3 linked regions of the Solanum lycopersicum genome follow. The protein of the gene in region 2 interacts with the protein of the main gene of each other region in a pairwise test. Links are inferred from orthologs where the notes say so. Each region holds a gene or a part of one and is shown on either strand. Other genes may lie near its edges. The genes, in order: abscisic acid receptor PYL2-like, TCP21 and abscisic acid receptor PYL3.

Evidence for each region.
Region 1: the proteins of TCP21 (region 2) and abscisic acid receptor PYL2-like interact in binary tests that used the Arabidopsis thaliana proteins (3 or more experiments, as listed by UniProt). The link is inferred for Solanum lycopersicum from reciprocal best matches to the Arabidopsis thaliana genes AT5G51910 and PYL2.
Region 3: the proteins of TCP21 (region 2) and abscisic acid receptor PYL3 interact in binary tests that used the Arabidopsis thaliana proteins (3 or more experiments, as listed by UniProt). The link is inferred for Solanum lycopersicum from reciprocal best matches to the Arabidopsis thaliana genes AT5G51910 and RCAR1.

The regions. Positions count from the first base shown.
Region 1 is NC_090811.1:67,277,182-67,280,582, forward strand, and holds abscisic acid receptor PYL2-like, read right to left. Parts: upstream 2,272-3,401; 5' UTR 2,097-2,271; coding exon 1,865-2,096; intron 1,233-1,864; coding exon 892-1,232; 3' UTR 651-891; downstream 1-650. UniProt on the Arabidopsis thaliana protein: Receptor for abscisic acid (ABA) required for ABA-mediated responses such as stomatal closure and germination inhibition. Inhibits the activity of group-A protein phosphatases type 2C (PP2Cs) when activated by ABA. Can be activated by both (-)-ABA and (+)-ABA.
Region 2 is NC_090802.1:2,189,795-2,192,980, reverse strand, and holds TCP21 (TCP transcription factor 21), read right to left. Parts: upstream 1,824-3,186; 5' UTR 1,783-1,823; coding exon 802-1,782; 3' UTR 634-801; downstream 1-633.
Region 3 is NC_090807.1:67,225,143-67,228,906, forward strand, and holds the start of abscisic acid receptor PYL3, read right to left. Parts: upstream 2,684-3,764; 5' UTR 2,284-2,683; coding exon 2,149-2,283; intron 1,159-2,148; coding exon 943-1,158; intron 620-942; coding exon 401-619; 3' UTR 1-400. UniProt on the Arabidopsis thaliana protein: Receptor for abscisic acid (ABA) required for ABA-mediated responses such as stomatal closure and germination inhibition.

The sequences.
Region 1 (3,401 bases), on a different chromosome or scaffold from region 2:
TAATTGATCATATTTTTACTTGAGTTCTTGTACAATCTTATCAAAGATAGAGGTGAACCTAATAAAAAACATGAGCATTCGATAAATTTAAAAAAAAAAATACACATATATATATATGTATATATTCAAATTGCTTTCTTCTAGTCACATATGTATACATATATATTTTAAAATTATTTTTTTTAGTCAAATTTCAAACAAGGTAAAAATTAAAAGAAAATAAGTGAGTAATAAAGCAAATTTTAATATCACATGTTGTAAGGTGTAAGTCACAAGTTTCTCAATGGTAACAACACTAATATTTATCTTTATTTATTTATTTTTGTATATTTTTAAAAATTTATTTCTCTCCTTTTTTCCCCCTCACATTTATTAAAAAAGTAGTAGAGTAGTTCAACAATAATTTCCCCCCTTTAAGGTTGGAGTATACACAAACCATTTATAAGGTATCTTGCCAGCTTTTCATTCACATAAAGTTATTTTTTTTTTCTTTGCGGTAAAAAGTAACGATATTAATATATTCAGTAATATTTCGTAAGAAAAATTTGGAAAAAGTAAACTATACATAAATCATATTCATAAAATATAAAATATAAGAGATGTTGTCAATATCGTTAAAGAATTTTGAATCGAATACAAACGTATATATATTTCACAAATAAACCATAGATATATGTATATATTTCAAGAATTACAAAAATACAACAAACATTTCAAAAAATCAAATCCACAATTACGTAACTGTTACAATACATAAAAATTATCAAATCTTATTCGATACCTATTCTGATGAAAGGAAGCACATTTCGCCCCAAACACCATACTTATTAGTAAAAGAAAATAACAAAACAATCAAATTTAAACCCTGAATCCTTTTGTTATCGCGATTAATTATTCGTGACCATGCATAGTAGACATTGCCACTAAAGCAAGTTTTTGTAGATTCAATTTCACAACAGTATCAGTAAACATTTTTGTATCTTCACCAGTATTCCCTTCTGGAATATCAACAATATATGATTCCAAAACTATAGTATAAATTTTTCCATTTTTTTTAAATTCATTTACTGATGTTACTGATTTATAATTTGTCAATCTATGTTCACCTCCAACAACTCGAAAACTTAAAATATGTTTTTCATCATCTAATATCTCTAGACGTTCTGTACTTGTTGATGCAGGTATTCCTGACACAACTGTTACTTCTCTTATGCTACCAACTCCGCCATCACCTGTATCGAGTGATCGAGTCAGAATTTTCACTAAACAAACGTCAAAATATAACAAAAAAATAGTTGGTCTAATATTTTACTTTAAATGATAAAATGTATATACACAAACAGAAATAAATTCACGAAGAAATCAAAAAGACCGATGTCAACATATATATATATATATATATATATATATATAACATACTTAGCTACGTAATGTAAGTTAAGTACATGTGACTTCGCCACTTTTTTTTTTTTTTTAAGAAGGATCAATTACTTATACAATATTTCAATTATTGTATAAAAATGCAACTTTGGTTGATGAGAGATGTTATGATGATTAAACATATAAAAAACGAATTTTTGACATTATAAATAAAAGATAATTTAAGTATATGTATTATCACTATAATATTTTTGGACAAATTTTATTTGTATTTGATTTGAACCAGGAAAATGAATGATCTTCATACATAGAGATTTTTTTCATCGAGAAGATTAATAATATTTACTTTAACCACTAGAATAAGTCTCGCTTGTCTATAGGTGAAAGGTAAATTTGAAGTATAGTATATGTAACAAAATAATCACTTATAATAATATATGTGTTATAACGTCAATTTAAACTTTTAGATGAAATAGTTACATACCTGATACGATCCTGCAACTTTTGATGAAGTGCTTATACTTCTCGGGATTATCAAAACGACGGATGAATGGCCATACGACATCGACGGGCGCGTCTATGCGTTGCGTCACAAGAGAAGTACAAGTATTTGGTAAATCCTCAAAAGTATGATAATTTCGAATCAATGGTTCCAACTCAACAAATTCTTCTTGTGTTAGCCCTTGCGGAACTAATAATTGTCTATCACCATCCATTTAAGGAACGGGGTTGAAGAATCGACGATACGAGTGTTCTCGAAGAGAAAAAAAATTCACAAATTTGATTGATTGAAAATGGAGAAAAAAATGGCAAATTGTTTTATCCTTCTTTTGGTCTTTGGGAGATAGGAAGAGAAGTTATAGGGTTCCTTTTTATGATGAGAGGGAAAATACATGTGGCATGGGTTGTTTAGCTTTATTTATTAGAGTTTCGTAGGCAGTTCCGTGCATGAAGCATATAATTTTATATGTGAAATAATAATAATTAATCGACTTTATGAGATAATTAACATTAATTGAGTGATTTTTGATTTTTATGTCATAAAACAAAGTTTAATAACTTTCGGAGATATTAATTGTTATCGAGTAACTATTTAAGAAATTAACTCGTTTTTAAATTTTTAATTAAAAACTCCGAGTTCATACTAGGATTGGATATAATTTGTTGGTAAAGAACATTTCTTTAAATTATAATCGAGTTTTTATATATATGACGTAAATTTACATTAAATTAAGATATAAAATAAATATCAAATATCGAAAAAAAAAAAAAAAACATAGCAAAGCTGTATATTCGAGGATCATGTGACAAAGTTTAACACATTCGCGTGATCAAAACTCAACTTTGCAGCATTCAACCCTACCCACAACTTTTTTTATTGGACGGTCGTTTGATACGTGAGATAAAGAATAATAATTTTGAAAAAAAATAATTTTATTTCATATTTAATTGGAGATATTAGTTAATTTTGTGATTGTTTATCACATTATTTGTAGTGAAATAGCGATTTTATTGTCTCATAAAGAAGGTGAGATAAAATAATCTCATGAAATATTCTTGCTTATCTCATCACGCAGATCAACTAATGCTCTAGGTTAGGACTTGGCTCGGAGACATATGTGACACTATGATGTTAGGGGTGTCAAATTAGCTAGGTAGGTTAAATTTGAACGAATCAAAATGGACGAGTAATATTTTCATCAATAAAAGATATATATAGGTTAGAACTACACATAATTATATATATGCACATAATTATAATTGTACTACACACTTTTCTATTACTAAATTTAACTATATTTTAATATAAACATCGAAAATCAAAAATTATTCTCACGCTCACCGCTTTGCCCTCTTAGATAGACCCGCCGGACGAATTCATTCCCATTTAGATAAATACAATAGATGGAAACCTAAGCAAGTAGCAAAGCACAACCCCTCGCAAGTTGCTGCATCGGGCTTTCGCCCATTTATTCTATACCAAAAGTGAATTCATTTGCATACGACATTCTTACGGCACG
Region 2 (3,186 bases):
CTAACACTTATACCCTCTATTTACCATTCTTATTTATCAAGAGAATTTAATTAATAATCATAGCCTTTGAATTAAAAAACCATATTTTAAAAAAAAAATTAAATTTTTGTATTGACTAGTATTCATTGACCCACACCCCTCTATCCATCTTTAGTGGGCCCTACTCTAAAGTCACATGTAATTTATGAAGTAATCCAAGTGCACGGGCCAAATGGACCCAAAGATAAGAACCACAGTACATACACAGTTACAAAAATAGCTTATATGTATTCTTTATTTATTGAAAATATATATTATATATTACTTTCTCTTCCGATATTGTTTGTCATGATTTCTATTTTTAGAGTCAAACTATAAAAACTTTGACTAACACATTTTTTCATCATATTAATATGTAAAAAATTATAATTTATAGTACTTTTCATATAGTTTTAGAATATCTAATTTTTTTATTTAAAATATCGAATTAATATGATCAAAAAATTAGTCAAATTGAACATGACAAACATTTTCTAAAGGATCGAGTTTATGTTAGTACAAAATTTACTTTTTTTTTAAGAAAAAACTACTAATGGATAGAGCACATTAACAAGCACTATAATGCAAAGAAAAAGTTGAGTGCCCCAAAACTAAGAAAACAGCAAGTTGACATTTAACATTGACGAACCCATGTCACAGCAGAGCAACTTCCTTTCCTAGATGCTTACAAGCAAAATGTTAAAATAATCTTTTGAAAAAACTAGATGCTTATCCAGAAGAGATTAACAAAAAAAGATAAATTAATGGGTCTTAGAACCCTAATCAGGATTTAGATGAGGAAGTTTGATCAATTTCACTGGAACCAGAACCAACCATAAACTGAAGCTCTCTCTTGTCATAAATCTCCAGTGAGAAATCTCTAAGCATCTGTGTAGAACTAGAACTTGGAGGCATAGCTGAAGCAACTGTGCTTAACTTGCCTCCATTGTTATCACTTTTTGACACACAAGCAGCAGAGACCCCTGTTGCTGCATAAGGTACATTAAGTATTGGAGTGGCCCACAACTGAGCCCCAGTAGCAGCAACTGTTGTATTAGTGCCTGGCGGTAGCATATAGAAAGTTGCCCCACCGGTAAATGCTGTGGTGGGAATAAGTCCATTCCCAGAGCCCACTGGCCAAACAGGAACAAGACCTTGTGGGGCAATGGGAGCCACCGGTGCAAAATTTGACGCCTCATAAAACTCGCTATTTGCAGCCCTTTTCCTTCTCTTCCTCGAGCTTTCTCCCTCGTTGTTTGACGTCGGTATTTTCAGCGTTCCGTTTACTGATACCGCGATGGCCGGAACCGTACCCGTTCCAGTAGCGGCAATGATGGCTGGCTCGGCGCGTTCTAGAAGCCATCTTATAGTTTCACCTTCCGATTTATGACCTAGTTCCCGCGTTAATTGGAAGATTCTAGCAGCACAAGCCGCCGGCATACGGATTCTCCGACCACGGCCTTCCACTTTCGTGTGCCGGTCCTTTGAGGATCTTTTCACCGGTTGTTTCTCTACCTTCTGCAATTGCATATTCATCCCAACCGACGTAGAAACTCGCAAATCATTCTCCTCCGGTTCTTCCTTTAACAACAGCACCCTATCAGTGGACGCCGCCGGAGACGGATCCACCCCTTCCGCATCGGTGACATTCCCTACCGCTGCAATGGTGTATTCATGAGAATCACCAAGTAACGGATCAATCTTACAGTCGTTCACCTCGTCATCTTCTTGTTCAATGTTTTGGTTGTTCTCAACCCTCGCCATTTTTCAGAAAAATCCCAAACACAGCTGCAAATAGCTGAAACCCAAAAAAATTTAGAGCTTAAAAAAATAAAAAAGGAGGATTGAAATAACTACAGTACCCCACTGTGTACTTAATGAAAATTGACACAAGGAGAAATTAATATAGAATTACGCGACGAAATTAAAAATTTTATTTGGACATATGATATAGAATTTTAATGTTGTGTATTTTTTTTTAATATAAATATAAGAATCTCATAAATTCTAAAATTGTTAAAATAGCTTTAATTATTTATTTTATATTATTAAATAAATAAAAATCATAAAATTGTATAATAAATTATTGCAAAACTATTTGTTCTTCACTTAATTAATTGTTTCATCAATATATTTGAGTTAAAATGAAACATGACGTGAAATTATATTGGTGAAGTGTGAGTTAAAGTGACTTATGTTGATGAGAATTAAATTTTTTTATGTCAGTGAAATTAATAAATTTTAAAACGTTATGACGTGATTATAAATTTTATTTAAATGTGAAATAATAGTTAGTATATAGAAATGTGGGGTTGTTTGAACAAAATATAAATTCGTGAATTAATTTTTGTATTTAAATAACTCAAATCATGATATTGTATTCTCATATGATTCTATACCATGATTTTTGAAGAATATGATATCAAATCTCATTATATGAAATCACGAGATGTAATCAGCATAAAATCATATGTCTAAATGCTGATTTCATCTCACGATACTATATCACATGGCCAAAACGCCAACTAAATTTAATTAGAACTCTAAGAAAATTATGTTAGGTAAAAAGTTTGACAAGACAAAGATCAAACTAGAGCTTAATATATTGATGTTATTTTATTTTGATGCCTGATATTTTTTAGGTGAAATAATTTATAATATAATAATTAAAGATATTTATTTTGATAATTTAACCCTAAATTGTGAAAAAAAATAGTGTGAAGTTCAATAATGGGCTTCACATGACGAATAAAATCTAAATCTATCAATTGTTATTTTCTTTGCTAGGTTCTCTTGCTCTTTGGATTTCTTTCCTTTTATTCTGCCCGATTTTCCCACATAATTATTAATAGAAACAAACACATGAAAAATAAAAAATTATGATTGAGTGTTATAAAAAATTATTACATGATATTTATAAAAAATTATTTGTTCATTAAAGAATATAACTTTTAGGAAGAGTCACCTCTGAAATTTTATTAATATAAAGCATTTCGGGAAGTAAACTAAAAAAGATCTCCGTAATAAACAAAACGATTTGTTGTATGGAATTATTTATACTTAACCCACTATTTACATGAGGAATATCTCTTTAAAGAACGCAATTAGACACTTCAAAACCATCTTCTTTTGCAATTATATTTCTTACTATTTTTTTTAATGACGATA
Region 3 (3,764 bases), on a different chromosome or scaffold from region 2:
AGCACCCTATTTTTAATATACCAAATACTGTTTCTGGTACATATTGACACACCAAAATCAAAAGATACACGAGCGTATAGCGTGTCATAACCACACAACAATGATCCTATAACAAGAAACAGCACCTTAATGAGCATAGATGTTTACAACCCAAGCTCAATTCACGCACAGCCACAAACAGCATGGCTGGTTCTTCACATTATGAAATAGACTGATTGCATTTTACAAACCGCGATGACCTTACAGATGATGAAGAGGAAGCATGAACATATATATATGTATATATAGATAAAGATATATATACTTCTGAGATCGAGAAGGACCGGCATAAGTACCAGTCACTCTTACTCGCTTTCTAATCAAATCCTTGCACGCTTGGCAAAATGATGAAGCTGTTAACCTACATTCTGTCGATAGGCTCCATATGGCCCTGCACAGCTAAGCGCTCGGATACATCAGCTAGTGATTTGAGGTTACACCGGATGAGGGCCTCGACAAAGTAACAAGTTTCATCCTTAGTATTCCCATCTGGTACATCCACCACGAATGACTCGACTACCATTGTTCCAGGCCTTCCGTCAATGACCTTCGGGTGAACAGTGATAATTGATGAGTAGTTCTGCAAGTAATGTGAAGAAAAATTAAGACAGTCACCATCATCTCTTGTTTTTCCTTCCCGGGATAATAACAGAACATATGGTGACGAGCCTAAGAATCCAAAGTGAACAACCAACAAAATACCCCCAACCCCCCAAACCCAAATACACACAAAAAGAGGGAAATAAAATAAAAAGATCACAAGAAAGACTTCATGAATAAATAGAGCAATAACTTGACTATATAGGTCACTTGTTGATACTTCACGCTTCATGGTTGATTCTACGAGGGAAAAGTTATGGATATATTCAATACATATCAAACGATGAGATAAAAGACTCATACCCTAAGCCTGTGATCTCCACCTACGATCTTTACACCAAAAATGTGCTCGTCATCATCTAGAAGCTCTAACCTCTCCTTGCTTGTGGTAGCTGGGAGTCCGGACTTAACATTCACTTCCCTAACACTTCCGATTTCAAGGTCCCCTTGCACGATGCACCTGCTAACAAATGGTTTGTACCTTTGTGGTTGATCAAACCTCCTCACTAATGACCAAACCTATCAAATATACCAAAACCCAGTAAGTACCCAGTGAAGAAAACATAAATATGTTACCTTTCTCAAAACAAAAAAACATACATGGTACATCCATTTTCCGTCTTTAGATACAATACATGTAAACCATAGAAATCCAAAATAGTCTACTTACTTCAATCTTTTCCAGTGATCAATTGACAAGCCTGAACAGTTCGAAGAACATCAATGAAATGAAGTAATAAAACAATCAAACGTCTTGAATAGTTTCAAACTCACTGCTTTTTTTCTCTTTCATAAACAGCTTAAAATACATTGTCCAAAGAAAAGTTCAAGGCATCTCTGCAACTAGCTTCCTCAACAGATAAAGACGGAGCTCTCTTTTCAGTAACCAACCCCTCTTTTCTCTCAAATCCACAGCTATTGTGAAAACTAAAATCCATAATCTATGTTATCGGAAAACACTATAAAGATTGTTTTTTCCAAGAATCTAACTTGGGGCAACTTACATCATCACCAAGAGCTCCAATATGCTTAACAAGTGAGAAATTGCATCAATTATCTCAAAATATACATAAAATTCCAATCTTTTTTTTCAATACACTGAATAAGGGCTACCTACAACCTCAACAAGGCCTCTGATATGCTTAACAAATGAAAATAAACACAAACATTCAGTCATTTTTTTTTCAAGAATCTAACTTGGGGCAACTTACAACATCACCAAGAGCTCCAATATGCTTAACAAGTGAGAAGTTGCATCAATTATCTCAAAATAAACATAAATATCCAATCTTTTTTCTTCAATACACTGAATAGGGGCTACCTACAACCTCAACAGGGGCTATATTATGCTCAACAAATGAAAATAAACATAAAAATTCCGCCTTTTTTGATTAAGAATCTAACTTGGGGCAACTTACAACATCAACAAGAGCTCTAATATGCTTAACAAATGAAAATAAACATAAAAATTCAAACTTTTTTTCAAGAATCTTAATTGGGGTTACTTACAAGATGAACAGGAGCTTTAATATGCTTTACAAGTGATGAACTACACTGATTATCTCTAACATCATGTCTATGATGTCTCCTAATATACTCATCTTCACTACTAATTTTTCTATCAACGTTCATGATGCTGACCATCGCCGGAGAAAAAACAACGGCACCGACAACCTCGTCGACGGCGAATAAATCTGGAAAAAAAAAGGGTGGAAAATGAGAAAAATTAATTTAGAAAAAGCCAAAAGACACCGCCATTAGAACCTCGAAATAATTTTTTGAGTGGTTTAAATTTGATGGGTTATTTTATTTTTTTATATATATTTTTATTTTCTCGTCCACATCTATAAACCTCCATTATTGTTATTATTTTTTTGTAATTTAAATAATTAAGATAATTTGTGCAAGTGGGGTTTTTGGTGGTGGGGGGTAGGTATTAAGTTTCTAAATTTAATTAACATTTTGATCTAAAATGGAGAAAACTACTTTTTACAAAAGTAGAAATTGATAATGTTATTTTAGAATAATATATTTGATGTTATAAGATAAGTAATTGGTTAAAATCTTTATTAATAATATTGTGCCCTTGTCGGCTTTAAAGTATCTTGATTATTTGTTTTTTCTTTTATTTTAATTTATTTATTTTATTTGAATTGACATAAATTTTAAAAAGTGAAAAAAAAAATTAATTTTATGTCTATAAACTAAAAATATATGTCCTTTGGAATGACTCAGATGATTTTGAGGGTGGTTATCCCTACGGATAATTCGAGATTGATCTCCCTCAATATTTTCTGAGTTGATTTTGTCACATAGAATTTATCTAGTACGATTTACATTTCATATGTCATTCGAGATGATTAGTTGATTTTGAAGGTGGTTATTCACGCGGATGACTCGGGATTGATCCTCACTCAACACTTTTGAGTCGAGTCTGTCGGATAGAAATGACAGAAATTATAGCAACTTCCGATTATTCAAAGAATTCAAAAAAAAAAGAAAAAAATATCATGTTATTTAATCTTATTGATTTTAATTATATATCATATGAAAAAAGAATTAAAAATATATTTTTTTCTAAAACGAACTTTAAAAAAGACGAATGAATTGTATAGTTTGGTTCGAAATCAAATTATTATGATTACTGGGATTATCGTTAGGATTATCTACCATATAATTTCAGTGTAAAACAAAAGGAATAAAATTCTTGCAATTTATATAATTCAAAACATTTATGATATTTGCATGATTCCATTATAAAATTATGTCAGAATAAATTAAAGTAAAGAATTCAAAATTAAATTATTCTAAGTATAGAAGAAATATATCTCATAAAATAAAATAGATGCATTATCAAAACATTTTATCCTGTTAACATTTGGATTCTAGTCAATCATTTTCTTCATTCCAATCGGATAAGTCGTTAGCCTACACTTATTAATACAATGATCTGTTTGTTCTTCGATATTCGATGAATTTAAATACTTTAAAGTGAAATTAAAAATTTTCATTTAGAGATAAATATTTTTATTAGACAATCAACTTTAATTATATTCAGATCAAATTAAATATTATTTTAATAAATAATAAAAATATTTTAAAATTGAATTATTATCTCCTCAAAT